Linked DNA regions of Bombyx mori. The protein of the gene in region 1 purifies or fractionates together with the protein of each later gene. This does not show direct contact. Links are inferred from orthologs where the notes say so. Each region holds a gene or a part of one and is shown on either strand. Other genes may lie near its edges.

Evidence for each region.
Region 2: the proteins of actin nucleation-promoting factor WASL (region 1) and cdc42 homolog purify together in Drosophila melanogaster (affinity purification with western blotting; 3 studies listed by BioGRID). This does not show direct contact. The link is inferred for Bombyx mori from reciprocal best matches to the Drosophila melanogaster genes WASp and Cdc42.

The regions. Positions count from the first base shown.
Region 1 is NC_085121.1:15,494,946-15,499,254, forward strand, and holds the start of actin nucleation-promoting factor WASL, read left to right. Parts: upstream 1-1,299; 5' UTR 1,300-1,618; coding exon 1,619-1,705; intron 1,706-3,998; coding exon 3,999-4,226; intron 4,227-4,309.
Region 2 is NC_085107.1:13,964,172-13,968,723, reverse strand, and holds the start of cdc42 homolog, read left to right. Parts: upstream 1-1,470; 5' UTR 1,471-1,619; intron 1,620-1,824; exon of another isoform or gene 1,825-2,021; intron 2,022-3,413; exon of another isoform or gene 3,414-3,483; intron 3,484-3,579; coding exon of another isoform or gene 3,580-3,957; intron 3,958-4,353; 5' UTR 4,354-4,448; coding exon 4,449-4,552. Other genes in the region: uncharacterized protein LOC134199721, read left to right, coding at 3,580-3,957. UniProt on the Drosophila melanogaster protein: Regulates mbt kinase activity and is also required to recruit mbt to adherens junctions. Together with mbt and Frl, regulates photoreceptor cell morphogenesis. Together with Frl, has a role in the neuronal development of mushroom bodies.

The DNA.
Region 1 (4,309 bases):
AGGAGAACCGTCTCATATGGAAGAAGCTTGAAAAAGTGTCGCACTTTCAGCAATAACTAACAGTTCAAAAATCCTCCAGAATGGCGCTAGCATAGGCACAGGGTATGATATGAATTGAGCAGTTTTTAACTGATTGAAGTATGCTGAGTTAGGAAATTTAATATATTTGTAGTTAGTGACAGTGTAATACACAAGTTTACGTAGTCCAAACTAATTTCGTCAATATAACCTAAAATTATTGCTGTGGTAAAAGGTGGAGACATCGATTGCATTTTCTTATCAGCTTTAAATAATATACTTTTTGTGATTTTGTAGTGCTTACAGGTCTTTCGTCCTTTTTTATTTCTCTATCTTATTCTAATAACTTTCAGGGCCTTTTTTAAAATTTACCCGGTTGCTACTGTAGCGCCACCCTTATTTAGTCAGTTTTAACGGACACTTTTTCACACACAGAGACGGTTCTCCTTACCTCTACCCTCCATATTCCTAATATGTCTATATCGATCATAGATAGTACACATAAATTCATAGACCTATATAGTAATAAATTATGTAGATGTTGCAATGATTAAATCATTGTAGGCGCCTGAGTTGCGAAGTAGAGGTGCCTCTACCCTCCATACTGCGAAGTAAAAAAAAAACAAAATGGCTGTCATTCTAGTATAGAGGTGCCAAGAGAAAATTGGGATAGTGATTTATCGCTAAAAATTCCCATATTTTACCCCACATAAGTTTCACTGGTGTATTGACACATTGTAATAATAGGTAGTACATAAAAATGAAATTGATTTACCTCCTAATCTACTGTGATGAAATGGATTGAAACGAGACGTGTTCAAAGGAATAAGTTCCAGAAAAATGCTCGGAAGTTATTAATACTTCAGTGAACTTCTTAGAAAACTTTGAATAGCCACAGTACTTTCTTAATTTTCTATAATTAGGTACTTTCACAGATGCTAAGCGGTTATTAGCATTGTTACCATTGGTGCATTAGCACCGTTATTAAATATTAGGTGTCACTAGAAAAAAATATTGACATTTCCTTGACCAAGTCACCGATGCCGCAGATATCGGCTAATAAATTTTATATGCACGAACCGGTTTTTAACCCTGAGTTATGGAGGAAAGAAATAAGTAAAATCAGGGGTGTAGAGACAGATGTCACTAAGGAATTTTTTGTTCGTGTACATAGTAGGTAAATAAAAACAAATTTGCGAATGCTTGGCAACTCGACACGTAGCATATAGTCTGTGAGCACCATAGATTATACACTTAATATATTCGAGAGCACAATAAAATCCATAGACTATACACTTAAGTGTATAATCTATGCTATACACTATACACATTGAATCAGATCAAACAGCACAGTAAGTTAATACGCTCACAGAGGGAGAAAGTGAAGATTTGCAAAATCAGAACGGTTTCCTAAGAACTTTTAGTTTTCGAGATGAATGTTTCCATTTTATGAGAAATGTTTACATGGGCCCAGTAAAAACAGCGGCTAGATAAAACGAACAAAACAACATTAAAATGCAGAAGAGTTTTTGTAGCTGACACATCAGTTTTCATGTGTTTATAGTGATTTTATGTGTGATATCTACGTTAGGCAAGCAAGATGCCGAGGGGAGAGCACAGAACGACAAATCTCCTGTCACGCGAGGAGAACGAACAGGTGTTCAGCCTAATAGGACCAAAATGTCAGGTGAGTTAATCATCCTTTTTAGATCCTTCATGAAAGTAGCTCGCGTTGAATCAGTCCACCTTGATTACGTATCTATAGCCCTATCAATGTATTATCTTATGCTATCTAAACGATAGAGTTGTTTGCGTCCTATTCTATCGCCTGGATGATTGATTAAGATATTATCTTGTTCCTTGTAACGTTAAATGTCTTGTTTTAAATCTAATGAAAATTACAAATCTTTTTAATTTTTTAATAGTATAAAAGGCTTTTGATAAACCCTCGGAACTTAACCGACCGACTACAATGCTTGACATTTCAGGCCCAAGCAATGTTTAGGAATTAAATTACTGTCAATACAAATTTCAACAATGAATTTTTATATTTTTTTTATATTTTCTGTGTACAACAAACTATATATTCAACTAACGTAAATTCTAAATGATTATTAACTCACATATTGGGTTTCAAAACCCACAGATAGGGAATTTTTTGAAATTAAACTATTCTCACACAATCATGAAAGACACTGAAATAAATAAAAGTAATAGAATCTAAACGAAATTCAAATAATATAAAAAGTATATTTACTATTTGTGAACCTCTGAACAGTGGAAACTGTCCCTGTCTATTTCTAATGTGAAAAATTTGGGGCAAAACAATTATGGTTGATATTGAGAGTTCTATAAACTGATAATTCCACATCATGTGTGCTCTTAGCTGCCCAGTTTAAATTATAAAAAAAAAACACTAATCAAAAAAGAGTTAAAAGTACATCTTAACAAGTCAGAAAAAGTGTAATTGCATTTCGACCAGTCATGTCGTGAAAGTGTTCAAAGCCTGCATATGATAGAAATTTCACCCCATAAAGACATACAGTGAAAGTCTGTTACTATATCAGATCTCAGTAAAGTATTTATTACGACAACTGGTTTTGCATGTCTTGTCTATTATACAATATATTCATAATATACATACACATGTTACTGTAGTGGATTATAGTTTAGAAATTTAATAAATCCAATATAAAAAAGATTGTTTGTTGGGAGTGTCTGTATAAATATTATCTATACAATTTCAAGTATTAAATCATCAGTCAACAAATTTCAAAGCGCAACTTATCTCTTATTAAACAATGGTCAAGTACAACCATGAATATAATAATCTTGTACCATATTGTACAAGAAAACCACTACGATTTCAAATTATTGAAATATATGAAAAATCATTAAACATAAAAAATTCACAAATCATTTGGACCCCTCCATATTATCATCTGTTCTATGGGTCTTCATATACTACTTGTATCAATAATATACGGGGTCAGCTCTGTTGTTAGCCACTATCAATAAAAATATATTTCCCACCTCATTACTAGTATCTGATTTGCATATTTTTATGTGATTCAATATAATTATGACTCACTGACTCAATGATTCAGAAAAGAATTGTGTTATTCAATATATTATCTAAAGTCTATATATTATCTATATATTATCTTTTTAGATTTTTCTAATCATTATATTATCTAAAAATTGTGTTATTCAATATAAAATCTATTATCTATTATTATCTAAATGTGGTACGATACATAGTTCTTGGAGCAACATATATACCATAATCTTGTTTCTGTTACCTTTAAAAACAAAATTGAAGCCTCAGCGGCATTGGATTTTATCTGCGACTGAAATAAAGATTTTTATTCTTAAAAATATCTTAGAATACCCATTTACATATATGCCTAGATACTATAGTGACAATAATCTGTCATTTGGTGAAATCAGATACCCTTTGGGAGCTTTAGGCAGATTTAGGATTTGCATTTGTAATGAAAATTTGAATCACATCATCAATTTTTTATTTATTGCTTAGATGGGTAGACGAGCTCACAGCCCACCTGGTGTTAAGTGGTTACTGGAGCCCATAGACATCCACAACGTAAATGCGCCACCCACCTTGAGATATAAGTTCTAAGGTCTCAGTATAGTTACAGTGGCTGCCCCACCCTTCAAACCGAAACGCATTACTGCTTCACGGCAGAAATAGGCAGGGCGGTGGCACCCACCCGCGCGGACTCACAAGAGGTCCTACCACCAGTAAGCCTACATACTTTCCGAGAATTGCCCAAAAAATATACCTATATTTTGACAAAGAATTGTAGTATCCAAAAAATAGTATTTATATTCAAAACTATTTTCTGATTTAGACATATGTTGCGGGCCGCTGTCTGGAAAATAAACTTGCCTGATGAAAGACCCTCTCTTTCATAGTCATCACAAGCAACACATAATTTAAAAATTTAAAATGTTTTCAGAGTCTAGCAACTACAGTTGTTCAACTCTTCACAACTGAAGGTCCAGCACATTCTGAATGGAAGAAGAGAGATACTGGTGTACTGTGCCTTATAAAGGACAATGGCAAGCGCTCATACTTCTTCAGGATTTACTGTTTGTACCGAAAAGCAATGATATGGGAGCACGAAGTTTATATGCAGATAGAATATAAGAACCCAAGGCCTTATTTACACACTTTCGAAGCTGAGGTAAGCTTAAAACTATGTTGAAAGTAAATAATGTAATATTGTATTTATAGTACATATAATAATAATAATGAAGTTGTCTTGGC
Region 2 (4,552 bases), on another chromosome or scaffold:
TGTGTTTTGTGTTTTTTTTTTAAGGCAAATCACTCAATATTATAAATCAAATTATACGTCAGTTAAACGCTCAATTCAAATACAATACACTAAATATACATCTATGCTTGTTTTTTAAATGGAGTACAAGTATTCTTCTTTTATTTTTATTGCCTGCCAGATTTTCAAAAGAGGTGACAAAAATGATTCTTGACATTAAGAAAGTACGTCAAATTTTTTTTAGTCGATTTTATAGTGCGCAATTTATTCTATGAACGATGTAACAGCATTTTATTGCATAATACTAATTGCCAACTACTATTTCACAACGAAAATTGGTATATGATTAAATGAGTATGTGACATAGATTGTACGATTTACCTAATTGTTACAAATATTCAATGTTATTTTTTGTTATGGATTTATTTGCTCCAACAATCATTATCAAACTTCACAGTGAATATCAATAAATTAGTTTCGTTTTTGCACATCCGATTTTTATGTTGGTCTGTAGGCTACTTTTTTCGTACCAATACTTATAGCCTTGAGAAGCTATATTAGCGTTACCCTTGCGTGTAGGTGAGCTCTTGGGGCTCTAATAAGGAAGTTGCTAGCACTGTCCCTAGCAAGAGCAGTGCTTCGCAGAGTCTACCACCGAATTGGAAACACGACCCATTGAGAAGATCCAGCGACGAGCTTAGTGGTCTGTGTCTGTGGGTTAATTTACTCGCCGAGCACGGCGTTGCAAGCGATGGGTTCAGTGGGAACGGTGACTGGTGCTTAAGGTACCTAAAAGAACCGTTTGTATCGGGAGGATCCGTAATTACGTGTTTAGGGCAAGGAGGCTTCGTTAATCACTTAACTACTACTACTACTGAGCTGGCGCTATGACCCCGAAGTGGGTCTCGGCCTCCGACAATAAACTTTGCCATTCATCCCGGCGCTGCGCAACATCTTGCCAGTCCGACACTTGGAGCTCCCGTAAATTTCCTTCCACAGCGTCATCATCACTTAACCCGTCTATTTAATTTAAAGTATAGATAAATATTTGATATTACTTAAATTACGCAATGATTACATCAAATTACTAAAGCATTTATTTCAGTAAGTATTTAAAGGATAGCTACTTTCTGATAACTACAGGTGAGAATTTTCGTTGTCCTATACTTTGTAGAGCTCAAATGATTGACCCTCCAAAACTTTACTTATATCAGTGTTAATTAAGTACACTCTGATTCTTATTGAATCATATCAACGGCCTCGGATCATGGAACACGTACCTACTTAAATAATTATGTACGCCTTCCATTTATGTGTAGTATATGATTATAATAGTTTTAAAGAAGCATATGTTTTAGATTTAAAACAAATATTGAAATTAACTCAGCAATTCGTTTAAAATAAATATTTTATTTCCATTTTGTTAATATTTTTTTACTAAAGGTACGATAAAATCGATTCTCTGACTGTTGACATTCGGACCATAGACAAATTTCTAGGCATTTACTGCTCTATTCAATCAATGGCGTCACACCGTCAATGACCCAACCCGCTACTTGGAGACTGTAACATTCAACATTTCCTATTTACAACGTGGTGTTATTGTATTCATTTGAAATATTTATTATCTTCGTAATTAGGTAAGTGTGTAATGAAATGAAATTGATTACAAATAAGGTAAAAACACCATATTAGTGGTTGTTGTCGAGCACAACACAAAATGGACGTCAAAATTATTGTGACGTGATTATGTAAAAAAAAGCAAAAATACTTCAAATATTTCTAGAAAGTTATCGTTTTTTTTAACACTATACCTATCGCTTTAATTTCATTCTCCGTAGCCATTGAATACTTATACTCAAATAGTACCACGGGACTGAAAGGTAACAGGAACTCGGAGGCACTTGTCTTGCGGACGACAAACACACCCTGTTGGCTGTTATCGGTCGCTCGGCTACAATACTATCTCAGGAAATAGTTCTTTGTTTTGTGCTCGAAATGTTCTTTAAAAGCAGTTTTCTTTTAATTCGACCCTTTTAAAGGTCAATGCCCTTTGAATGTGTTCCTATTTTGTAGTGTGCTTGGCATTTCATTTGCTATGCGACGTATGAGACCCTGATTATCGCCGAGTCGGAATGCAGTTTGTGTAATGCACTTAAAGCTAATTAGTATGGGTGTCGATCGCTTTTGTTTTTAACTATTAACATTTTTAAATATATTTTTTTCCTCCTAAATAACTGTATTTTTGTTGGGCTTCTAATAACAATTCGTGAATTAGTTGAAGATTTGGAAAAAGTCAGTAATAACATTCAGGTCAAGGACTGCTAGATTTAAAATAAAAAATGGTAAATTATTTAAATCAATTGTTGATTTCAACTTAACAGTTGTAGAATTGACTGTATTCTACCCAAGGAGCTTATTTCAGTTGTCAATTAAAAAGATTTCTTAATGCAATAATGAATTAAGAGTGACTGGATATTAGAATGCAGCTTAGGAGGATAATGGTATCTTTACAATGATTAAAAATAGTTTTAACTTCTCATAATATTAAACTATGAACCAGTGTATCCCAATACATGGAATAAACAACATTACTCATCTTCATTTTCTCATGATTTATTCTCCTCAATTTTTTTATATTAAAACCTTTATAAGGTATATTTAAAGTTATATTTAAAGGCTTAACATATTACCAGGTTACTGTTTAGCTATACATATATTCAGTCGTACTATTATATTCAATAAAGTAAAAGTAAGACAAATATTTTATTTTACTGTTATCACCAAAACAACAGTAATACTTGCCTAAGCGAAATTTCTCAATGTGGATCATAAAATAACTTAACACAGTGAAATCATTAGTTGAATCAAAATGTTCATAATACCATTAATAGTAATCACAATGTATAGATATTTTTACCCATTTTGAAAGATAATATTTGAAACTGCTACATTTTAAATCAGATAATGTTAATGTCTAGGTAGTTGTAGGATGAATGGTGATAACAGGGAGTATGAGCTCCAAGCTGTATCATTGGCATAATCATAAACCATGTGTATATTAATTTTTATTAATACAAAATATGTAGAAGTTGACTTGACATTTAGTTCAACTTTGAATAACAGTATACGACCTTCATATCGCTGGATCTATTAATTTAATTTTGAATAATCTATTTTATCATTCTTAGTTAATAATGTGTGGGTGTGGGTATTTATTAGAAACATTGCATCACATGCTTAATAGTAATATTTTATTTTAATTCTGTTAAAAAGAAAATTATAAACTAAGCAAGTTTGTCTGTAACATGATTTTGTTTACAATACAATTTCTACAGTGGAATTTATGCTCGCAATCATAAAAAGAGTATGTAGGTATGTAGTAATAATATATGTATAAGGCTTGCAACTAAGTTCTCGCTGTTTCTCAATAGATGGCTGCAGCAGTAAGTGCTGGTCGATTTTGATAGATCAAATATATTGTGAACCAAGCTTAGACAGATGGTAAATAAAAGAAACATTAAATTTATTGAAAATTATGTTGTTACATATACTTTTGGTTGTGTGAAACTGTCTGATTTTATAACAAATAAGTATCATATGCGGGAAGTGTTTCTTTTCTTCTTTCATTTGAAAAATACGCTGGATGAAGCTCTTCGAGAACTACAAAAAGTTTATGGCAATGCTGCTTTAAGCGAAACTATATGCTGTGATTGGTTCAGTCAGTTCATAGACAGTGGTTTCGATATTGATGACTGTCAAAGTAAAGGAAAGCTAAATTCAACGAAGTCGCTGTCTTCAAATTTGTATCTGATTGAATCAGTGGCTGATGCAAAATCCGCTAGCCTCAGCATAAGCAGTTGCTCACAAAGTCATTTACAAGTTATCACATCTATTGAAAGTATTTCAAAAGCAAGGAGCCTGGATTCCTTATTAGTTAAAGTCAAAATGTTACAAAAAGAAGAGTTATATTCATAGCATTAGCCTGCACAGTTCGGCTGTATACTCAGACTGTGACGATTGTGCTGTGTACTTGGTGGGACCAGGTCAGGAGTATTTATTTTGAGCAGTTGAAACCAAATTGAAACGACCCATAGGGAATGACACCAAACTCAATTAATGTGATATAGCGCTGCACAAAATATGGACATAATATGACATGATATAGTGATTCCCCTGTATGACATCATTAGGCCTCACCTTGCCAAATCCATTTAAACTTACTTTGAAACACTCAAATGGGGTGTCTTACTCTGCCACTGTATACCCCAGATATTCCACCATCCGATTTATATTTATAATTTATTAATTTATTATTCTACTATTACATTAATTTATGCCTATTTTGAAACACCCCCAATTGTTTTGTTCCAGAAACTTTCTATCAGAGTTTGCTATGAACCAAATAGTCCCTATAATAAAAGAAAATTTGGTGTACAAATTGTGAAGAAACAACTAATTGTTTAAAGATGCAGACAATAAAATGTGTTGTTGTGGGTGATGGTGCTGTTGGTAAAACATGTCTTCTGATCAGCTATACAACTAACAAATTTCCATCAGAGTATGTTCCAAC